Rattus norvegicus: one gene and its partner. The protein of the gene in region 1 interacts with the protein of each later gene in a pairwise test. Links are inferred from orthologs where the notes say so. Each region holds a gene or a part of one and is shown on either strand. Other genes may lie near its edges.

What was found.
Region 2: the proteins of Daxx (region 1) and Btbd6 interact in a two-hybrid assay, tested with the Homo sapiens proteins (2 studies listed by BioGRID and IntAct). The link is inferred for Rattus norvegicus from reciprocal best matches to the Homo sapiens genes DAXX and BTBD6.

What each region holds. Positions count from the first base shown.
Region 1 is NC_086038.1:4,974,921-4,979,187, reverse strand, and holds the start of Daxx (death domain-associated protein 6), read left to right. Parts: upstream 1-1,467; 5' UTR 1,468-1,547; exon of another isoform or gene 1,548-1,651; intron 1,652-2,070; exon of another isoform or gene 2,071-2,311; intron 2,312-2,404; 5' UTR 2,405-2,420; coding exon 2,421-2,627; intron 2,628-3,226; coding exon 3,227-4,052; intron 4,053-4,148; coding exon 4,149-4,267. UniProt on the Homo sapiens protein: Transcription corepressor known to repress transcriptional potential of several sumoylated transcription factors. Down-regulates basal and activated transcription.
Region 2 is NC_086024.1:137,877,734-137,882,001, forward strand, and holds Btbd6 (BTB/POZ domain-containing protein 6), read left to right. Parts: upstream 1-1,468; 5' UTR 1,469-1,555; coding exon 1,556-1,932; intron 1,933-2,008; coding exon 2,009-2,099; intron 2,100-2,202; coding exon 2,203-2,321; intron 2,322-2,469; coding exon 2,470-3,502; 3' UTR 3,503-3,929; downstream 3,930-4,268. UniProt on the Homo sapiens protein: Adapter protein for the cul3 E3 ubiquitin-protein ligase complex. Involved in late neuronal development and muscle formation.

The DNA of each region.
Region 1 (4,267 bases):
CATGTCATGCAGAGACTTACACCGGCACACACATAAAACCGAAATAATTGTGAAAAGGTGGGGAACCTTCATTTCAGGCATTCACTCTGGGAAACCCACTTTGAGAAACCCAAGGATATGAAAATTAAAACCTTCATTATCTTTAGAGTCCCGTTAGCCACTGGAAACCCCCCCCCGCCCCCATTGAAAGCCGTAAGACCGGACGGGAAGCGAGGAAGAAGTGGGTTTAAATTTGTAGTTCGGGTTCTCTTGAGAGCAGCTGGGCTTTCTTTTTTTGGGGGGGGGGGGGCTGAGGACCGAACCCAGGGCCTTGTGCTTGCTAGGCAAGTGCTCTACCACTGAGCTAAATCCCCAGCCCCGAGAGCAGCTGGGCTTTTCTTGGTCCTGCACATTGGTAAGATGCCCGCCACCTGAGGCAGGAAGACCGCGTTGATGCAGTCTCCGCGCGAAGGGTGTTGACTTATCAGGCTTCCTCGTCAGCACACCTGAGGGCCTCGCCTCTCCACCCCGGGCCCGGCCGGCATCACACAGTTGTTTTCCCCTCTTCCTTTTCTCCGCAGCTCTCCAGGAGAAGGAAGACACCCCGCGTGATTTTATGAGCCTCGATTCGTTTCCCAGCGCTCCCAGCGGCAGCTTGCAGGGCTTCTCACCAAGCCCGCACCAGGTTATCCCGCGCTCCGCCTCAACGCCCTGCAGACCCCTGCCCGGAAGCACTGCCTTCCATACAGTCAAGACGACCCTCGGTGGAACAGGGGCCACGGTTCCCAGTAGGGAGCTCGGTCTGTGGTGCAGATTGAGCATCCAGTCTCGCGGACCGCAATAATAACAATACCTCACTCGGGCAGCATGCTGTGCTCATTTGTATGCATGCATATGTGCGTGTGCGTGTGTGTGCACCTGACCCAGGAGGCCCGGGCTGGACAGCCTCCAAGTGCACGCCGGCTCTTAAAGGGAAGGGCAAGCATAGGCAACCAGGCGGTGGAACTCTTGGTCGGAGGGAAAGCAAAGTAGGGAGTGCCAGGCTTACACCAACAGGAAAAGAAAATCCTTTATTTCCTTCCCTGGAGCCCTACACAGCCATAGACACACCAGCTCCTTAGGTACCTGCTCGGATGGAAGGATGGGAAGGTCTTCCCCGCCCTCCAGCCGATGGCGTGGGGTGGGAGGGCAGGTCTGGGGCAGGAAGTTTCTGATTGGCCGAGTGGCTTTGGCAAGCTCCTGGTGCAAAGAGCTCCACGCCTCGCGGAGCTGGCTGGTGCCGTACGGCAACGTGGCGCGCCCCATCTACCTGGTCCCAGGCCCCGCCCCCCTGAGTGTCAGTGCACCCGGAGCGGCGGCCTAGGTGGGCGGGCCACGCGTCACTTCCGGTCCCAAGAAGCCTAGGTCCCGTACAGCAATATGGCCGCCCTCAGGTGCTGCAGGCGGAAACTCCGCGCCTTCCGGTCTGTTGTAGGGCCTGAGGTGGGGGTGGGGGAAAGGAAGGCGGAGGGAACTTTGCGAGGATTTGTGATCCGCGCTGAGGGGAGCCTCGAGAGACCGTTTCTGAGGTGGGGGCCAGGTCGTTCGTGGAGCCGGGGTGGCGGCGCAGGAGTTGGCGAAGGCGAAGGATCCGCACGGCCTGGCTGCGGAGTCTGAGGGGCGAGCTTGTATGGTACCTTGCTAGCCCTGAAGGGGAATGTGGCGGCCTAGGGCTGAACGCGGAGAGGGTTACTTGGCGGGAAGCTGAGGCTGGAGACTGTCCTCGCCTGGGGCTGGAAGCCCAGACATTGGGAATGCTGAGTGGTGGGCTTGCTGTCGGTTACGAGTCACAGAGAATGGGGAAAACCTGGGTGCGGTGAGAGGGAGGGGACTGGAGGTGAAAAATCTCCAGCCTGAAGTCCGGGTTTGTGGAAGGTGGAACATGGAGATGGTTGTAGGAGCGGGAAGGACACCAGGCTCTTCAGAGGGAAACCCTTTAACCTCGGAGTGGAAGAGTTGGAGTTAGGAAGAAGTCGGAGGGGACTGTGATGATGGAGGGCGAGAGGTGGGCAAACCCATGTGGTGGTATCGACTGGGTGTTGGTTTCTGTAGACGGAGAGAGCAGTGTGGGATCTTATACCCCATCGGATTGGGAGTAGGAAGAAAAAACTCACCAGCTGACAAGAGAGTGGGGAAAACGCAACCGAAAGACAGGAAATTGACTGGGGGCTGAAATTTGGGACTTGAGACGATCGATGGGGAGGTTCCCCTTCAGAACTGCCTGAGACTGATAGTTGCAAAAGACAGGCTTTGAAGACATCTCAGAAAGGACGAGGCTATTGTGAACCCTGAGGTATCTGACTGAGTGGGACTAAGGAGGAGGGGCTTTTCCTGAGTCACCCTTTCCCTTCCAGAATTCTGACCTTTCAAATACTTTTTCCCTCAGGGGGATTTGATCCCCCATGGCCACCGATGACAGCATCATTGTGCTTGACGATGATGATGAAGATGAAGCAGCTGCTCAGCCAGGACCCTCCAACCCAGCCTCTAATCCTGTCTCACCAGGACCAGAAGCCTCTGGTCCCTCTGAGTCCCATGGGGATGGAGGGAGCAGTAACTCAGGTAGCAGGAAGTGCTACAAGTTGGAGAATGAGAAGCTGTTTGAAGAGGTAAGCTTCAGGGAAGGCTCCCTTTCCTTTAAGAGAAGGGTCTCGCTTTGTGGCCCTGGTTGCCTGGAACTGTCTAGATGAGGCTGGCCTTGAACTCACAGAGTTCTACTTGCCTTTGCCTCCTGACAGCTGGGATTCAAGATGTGAATCACTGGGCTGGAGAGACAGCTCAGTGGTTAAGAGCACTGACTACCCTTCTAGAGGTATCGAGTTCAAATCCCAGAAACCACATAGTAGCTCACAACCATCTGTAATGGGATCTGATGCCCTCTTCTGGCGTCTGAAGACAGCTACAGTGTACTCATATATAGAATACATCTTTTTAAGAAAAGGATGTGGGGGTTGGGGATTTAGCTCAGTGGTAGAGTGCTTGCCTAGGAAGCGCAAGGCCCTGGGTTCGGTCCCCAGCTCCGAAAAAAAGAACCAAAAAAAAAAAAAAAGAAAAAAAGAAAAGGATGTGAACCATTATGATGTGATTGGGCAGATCCCAAGGAAAGGGGTGTTTGATTGGCTGATTGTTCTGGCTTCCTCACTGATTCCCTCTTTTTTTTTTTTTTTTGGTTTTTTGGTTTTCCCGTCCCTTCCCCCGAACCGTTTAGTTCCTTGAACTGTGTAAGATGCAGACATCGGACCACCCTGAGGTGGTTCCGTTCCTCCACAAACTGCAGCAGCGTGCTCAGTCCGCTTTTCTGGCCTCTGCAGAGTTCCGCAACATCCTCTCCAGGGTTCTGTCTCGGTCTCGGAACCGGCCAGCGAAGCTCTACGTCTACATTAACGAGCTCTGCACTGTCCTTAAAGCTCATTCCATCAAGAAGAAGTTGAACTTAGCTCCCGCAGCCTCAGCGGAATCATCGGGTGATAACCCTCCCACAGATCCCCCGTCTGACCTTACAAACACCGAAACCACTGCCTCTGAGGCCTCAAGGACTCGAGGCTCCCGGAGGCAGATCCAGCGCTTGGAGCAGCTGCTGGCACTGTATGTCGCAGAGATACAGCGGCTGCAGGAAAAGGAGTTGGATCTGTCAGAACTGGATGATCCCGACTCCTCCTATTTGCAGGAGGCCCGCTTGAAGCGGAAACTGATCCGCCTCTTTGGGCGGCTGTGCGAGTTGAAGGACTGCTCTTCTCTGACTGGGAGGGTCATAGAGCAGCGAATTCCTTACCGAGGCACTCGATACCCAGAGGTCAACAGGCGCATCGAGCGGCTCATCAACAAGCCGGGGCCTGACACGTTTCCGGACTATGGAGATGTGCTGAGAGCGGTGGAGAAGGCGGCGACCCGGCACAGTCTGGGCCTTCCCAGACAGCAGCTTCAGCTCCTGGCTCAGGATGCCTTCCGGGATGTGGGTGTCAGGTTACAGGAGCGCCGCCACCTGGATCTCATCTATAACTTTGGCTGCCACCTCACAGATGACTATAGGCCAGGTAGGAAGCTCCTGGGATGATTTCAGGTGGAACAGAGGCAGCTCTAATCCCTTCTAGGATTGGGACTGACTGCTCTGACCCTGTTTCCCCACACAGGCGTTGACCCCGCACTCACCGATCCCACATTGGCTCGCCGCCTTCGGGAGAATCGAACCTTGGCCATGAGCCGGCTGGATGAGGTCATCTCCAAGTATGCCATGATGCAAGACAAGAGT
Region 2 (4,268 bases), on another chromosome or scaffold:
TGTGGCCCTGGCAGTCCTGGAACTCAGACTCAGATCTGTCTGCCCGTGTCTCCTGAGTTCTGGGATTAAATGTGTACACCATCACTGCCCAGCTCCATTTACTTTTCTGAGCAAACTTTGCAATGGCCTTTTTTAATGGTTGTATTATTTTTTCAATCTTTCACAGTGTGCAGACTCTTTTCTCTATCATGGCTAAACCTTGTTGTAACATTCTGGGTTTTACAGAGGTTATGCTAGTGGCTGAGGTGGGATCTTGATTGTTGATATCAAACAGCTTGCCATGTTTCTTGGTCATCTGTGTGTCTTCTTGAAAGAAGCATCTGCTCAAGTCACTTGTCCATTGTCTAATCCATTTGCTTTTCTACACTGCGCTCTTTAGATATTTTCTCCCTTCTTTGTGGTGGCCTTGTCTGTGGACAAGCTCCTTTGCTATGCTGATTCTTTGAAGTCTGAAGTTATCGTGTCTACTTTCACCTATGTTGAATCATTGCTCTGTGTGCCCCATGGTTTTGCTATTATTTTCGTTGTTGTCTTTTTATTTATTTAATGTATACGAGTACACTGTAGCTGTCTTCAGAACACCAGACCTCATTACAGATGTTGTGAGCCACCATATGGTTGCTGGGAATTGAACTCAGGACCTCTGGAAGAGCAGTCGGAGCTCTTAACCGCTGAGCCATCTCTCCAGCCCCGCTGTTGTCTTTTTAATGTGTACACCTTTAGTTTGGTCATAGTTCTACATGTAACAGTAAACCTTGTTTTCCCAGCCTGTATTACCTTTACTTCTAGGTAAAACCCAAAGAATTGCAATTAGGGTCTGGAAAGGATAACTTGCCTTTCTATGGTCATCACAGCTGGGATATGGAACCCACTCTGGAGTCAGTCCCCCCACTGGCTGGATAAACTGGCAAATAAAACGTAACACATTGGAATAATCAACTTAAAAAGGAAGGTCTACATACAGAGTTTGAAGCCACACAGAGGCACATGAGGTCCGGATTCGTGAAAGAAAAAGAAATTCTGACATACTAAAATGTCTACTGCCCTTGACTTTATGCTTTGTTAAAGAAGCTAGACACACGGGGCTGGGGATTTAGCTCAGTGGTAGAGCGCTTACCTAGGAAGCGCAAGGCCCTGGGTTCGGTCCCCAGCTCCGAAAAAAAGAACAACAACAACAACAACAAAAAAGAAGCTAGACACAAAAGGGGAAGATTAAGCCTTGCGTCTAAGACTCATTTCGTCCACGGAGAAAAGCTGGCTGGGTCAAGTTCTTTTTCAAAACCTGAGCTGTTGGATAAATCTCATTTCAGAGTCAGAACATGCTACTACACAATCCACCCTTAAACCTAGGCACCCGGGCGGGGCTTCAGCACTCCCTCCCCTCCCCCGGGGGGCGGGGCCCTGGAACGAGGAGCCGCGTCTCGACGCACAGTGACGAGAGACGCCGGCGCCGCAGCAAAGGGTACGGGCGGGACGGCGCCCCCTGCGGCCCGGCCGCGGGCTCGGTGCGGGGTGTGGGGTGCGGGTGGGCGGCGGGCAGGGCCAGCGCGGCCCCATGCTGCTGCCGCTCGCCTGCCTGCATGGGCGGGTGGCGCAGTGCCTAACCTCCCTGCTGGTGCTCGCAGAGCCGCTTCCCAGGCCCCGTCGCGGGGCGAAGGCGCGCGGCGCAGTACTGACCAGTGCGGAGGCCGCCCCGGCAGGAGCGAAGATGGCCGCGGAACTGTACCCGCCTGCCGGTGCCTCTGCAGCTACTGCCACCGACATCGCCAACAGCAACGCGGCGGGCGCGGCCGAAAGCACGAAGGTTGGCCTTTGCTGCCCACCCTGCCTGGCGCCCGCCCCGCTGCCACCCTTGCCCGCGCCGCCCTTGCCAGACAACAACAATCCCGAGAGCCCCAACTGGCAGTCATTCCACCCTACGCTGCGCGAGAGGTGAGCCGCCGCCCGCCCCCGGGCCTTGGAGCCTGGGCGCGCGCCGTTCCAGCCCGTGTGCCTCTGCCCTTTGCAGGAATGCGCTCATGTTCAACAACGAGCTGATGGCCGACGTCCATTTCATCGTGGGGGCCCTGGGGGCAGCCAGGCGTGTGCCCGCCCACAAGGTGGGTAGAGGAGCAGCCCTGTCCCCTGGTGAGCCTGGCTAGGGGCGTCTCCCTGGGCCTTCTTTACTGCCCTGTTGCTCAGGTGGTTTTCTTTCATCCACAGTATGTCTTAGCTGTCGGCAGCTCGGTCTTCTATGCTATGTTCTACGGGGATCTTGCAGAAGTCAAGTCCGAAATCCACATTCCTGATGTGGAGCCTGCTGCCTTCCTGGTCTTGTTAAAGTAAGTGCTGTGCTCTGGGTCTGGAAGGATGGGGTGGTTACCTTCCAATGTTCCCCTTCATGTTTGCTACAACCCAAGAGGTTGTGCAGGGGAGCCCATGAGCTCCTCAGCCCTTGCAGCTCCCCAGGAGAGTCCCTGCCTTACCCAGGTACATGTACAGCGATGAGATTGATCTGGAGGCCGACACAGTGCTTGCCACTCTGTATGCTGCTAAGAAGTACATTGTGCCTGCCCTAGCCAAGGCCTGTGTCAACTTTCTGGAAACAAGTCTGGAAGCCAAAAACGCCTGTGTCCTGCTGTCCCAGAGCCGACTGTTTGAGGAGCCTGAACTGACCCAGCGATGCTGGGAAGTCATTGATGCACAGGCTGAAATGGCCCTGAGGTCTGAAGGCTTCTGTGAAATTGACCGGCAGACACTGGAGATCATTGTGACCAGGGAGGCCCTCAATACCAAGGAGGCTGTGGTCTTCGAGGCTGTCCTGAACTGGGCTGAAGCAGAGTGCAAGAGACAGGGCCTCCCAGTCACTCCTCATAACAAGAGGCATGTTTTGGGACGAGCCCTCTACTTGGTTCGAATTCCAACTATGACACTAGAGGAGTTTGCTAATGGTCCTGCCCAGTCAGATATCCTGACTTTAGAAGAGACCCACAACATCTTCCTTTGGTACACTGCTGCCAAAAAACCCCCCCTTGACTTCCCCCTGACCAAGAGGAAGGGCCTTGTTCCACAGAGGTGCCACCGCTTCCAGTCTTCTGCCTACCGAAGTAACCAGTGGAGGTACCGTGGGCGCTGTGACAGCATCCAGTTTGCAGTGGACAGAAGGGTGTTCATTGCTGGGCTGGGCTTATATGGGTCCAGTTCTGGGAAGGCTGAGTACAGCGTGAAGATTGAACTCAAGCGGCTAGGGATGGTCCTGGCTCAGAACCTCACCAAGTTTGTTTCAGATGGATCCAGCAACACATTCCCTGTCTGGTTTGAGCACCCAGTCCAGGTGGAGCAGGACACCTTCTACACTGCCAGTGCTGTCCTGGATGGCAGTGAGCTCAGCTACTTTGGGCAAGAAGGAATGACAGAGGTGCAGTGTGGAAAGGTGGCCTTCCAGTTCCAGTGCTCCTCGGACAGTACCAATGGAACTGGAGTTCAGGGTGGACAGATTCCAGAGCTCATCTTCTATGCCTGAGGCCTAAGGATTGCAGTGGCTGCCACCAGGCTCTTCTTCCATGGAGTCCACCCAGTAAGTGCAGTGGAGGTGCAGGACACTGTCAACTGCTTTACTGCTACCATTAAAGGTTTGGCTTACTATATCAGCCACAGTGTGAAACTTGACTTTTCCCAGCCAGAGCCTGGGAACTGAACTGCCAATGTCCGCTGACCCTAGATGGCATTCCACAGGTGGAAGACAGACTTGGGTCCAAGGTAGTCCCAGATCCCTGCCCAGTGATACCCAAGCTTCAGGACCCTTGGATTTTCCTCCCTCTTTTGGATTCTAAGTGGTTCCAGCCTATATTGAGGTCTCCCATTCAAGCCACAGATTGCTGAAAAGTCACTTAAAATAGTTGCATCCTATTTAAGTGAATTTTCGTAATAAAGGTTTCACAGAACAAGAACCACATGTAGATACATGACTGTAGGAGTTAACTGGGGTGCTCTTTCTTCCTCTCTCCCTCTCCCTCTCAATTCTACTGAAAAGAACATCTTGTCTGTATGAGTTTCCAGTGCAGAGCTGTTAAAATTAAACTGTATCTTAGGGGAGCTCCTCTATTCCCAAGATGCCTGTGGCTTCTGGGCTGTCTTCTCAAGGGCTGTAGAACTCTGCAGAAGGGCATTTCATTCATTAAAAGTGCCTCAGGTCTATTATAGGAGTCAGATTTAAAGAGTGGGCTGTGTGCTCTGCTGCCTGCTTGCTGTGAGCTGCTCTGTGTGGGTAAAGCAGGATCTCTAGGACC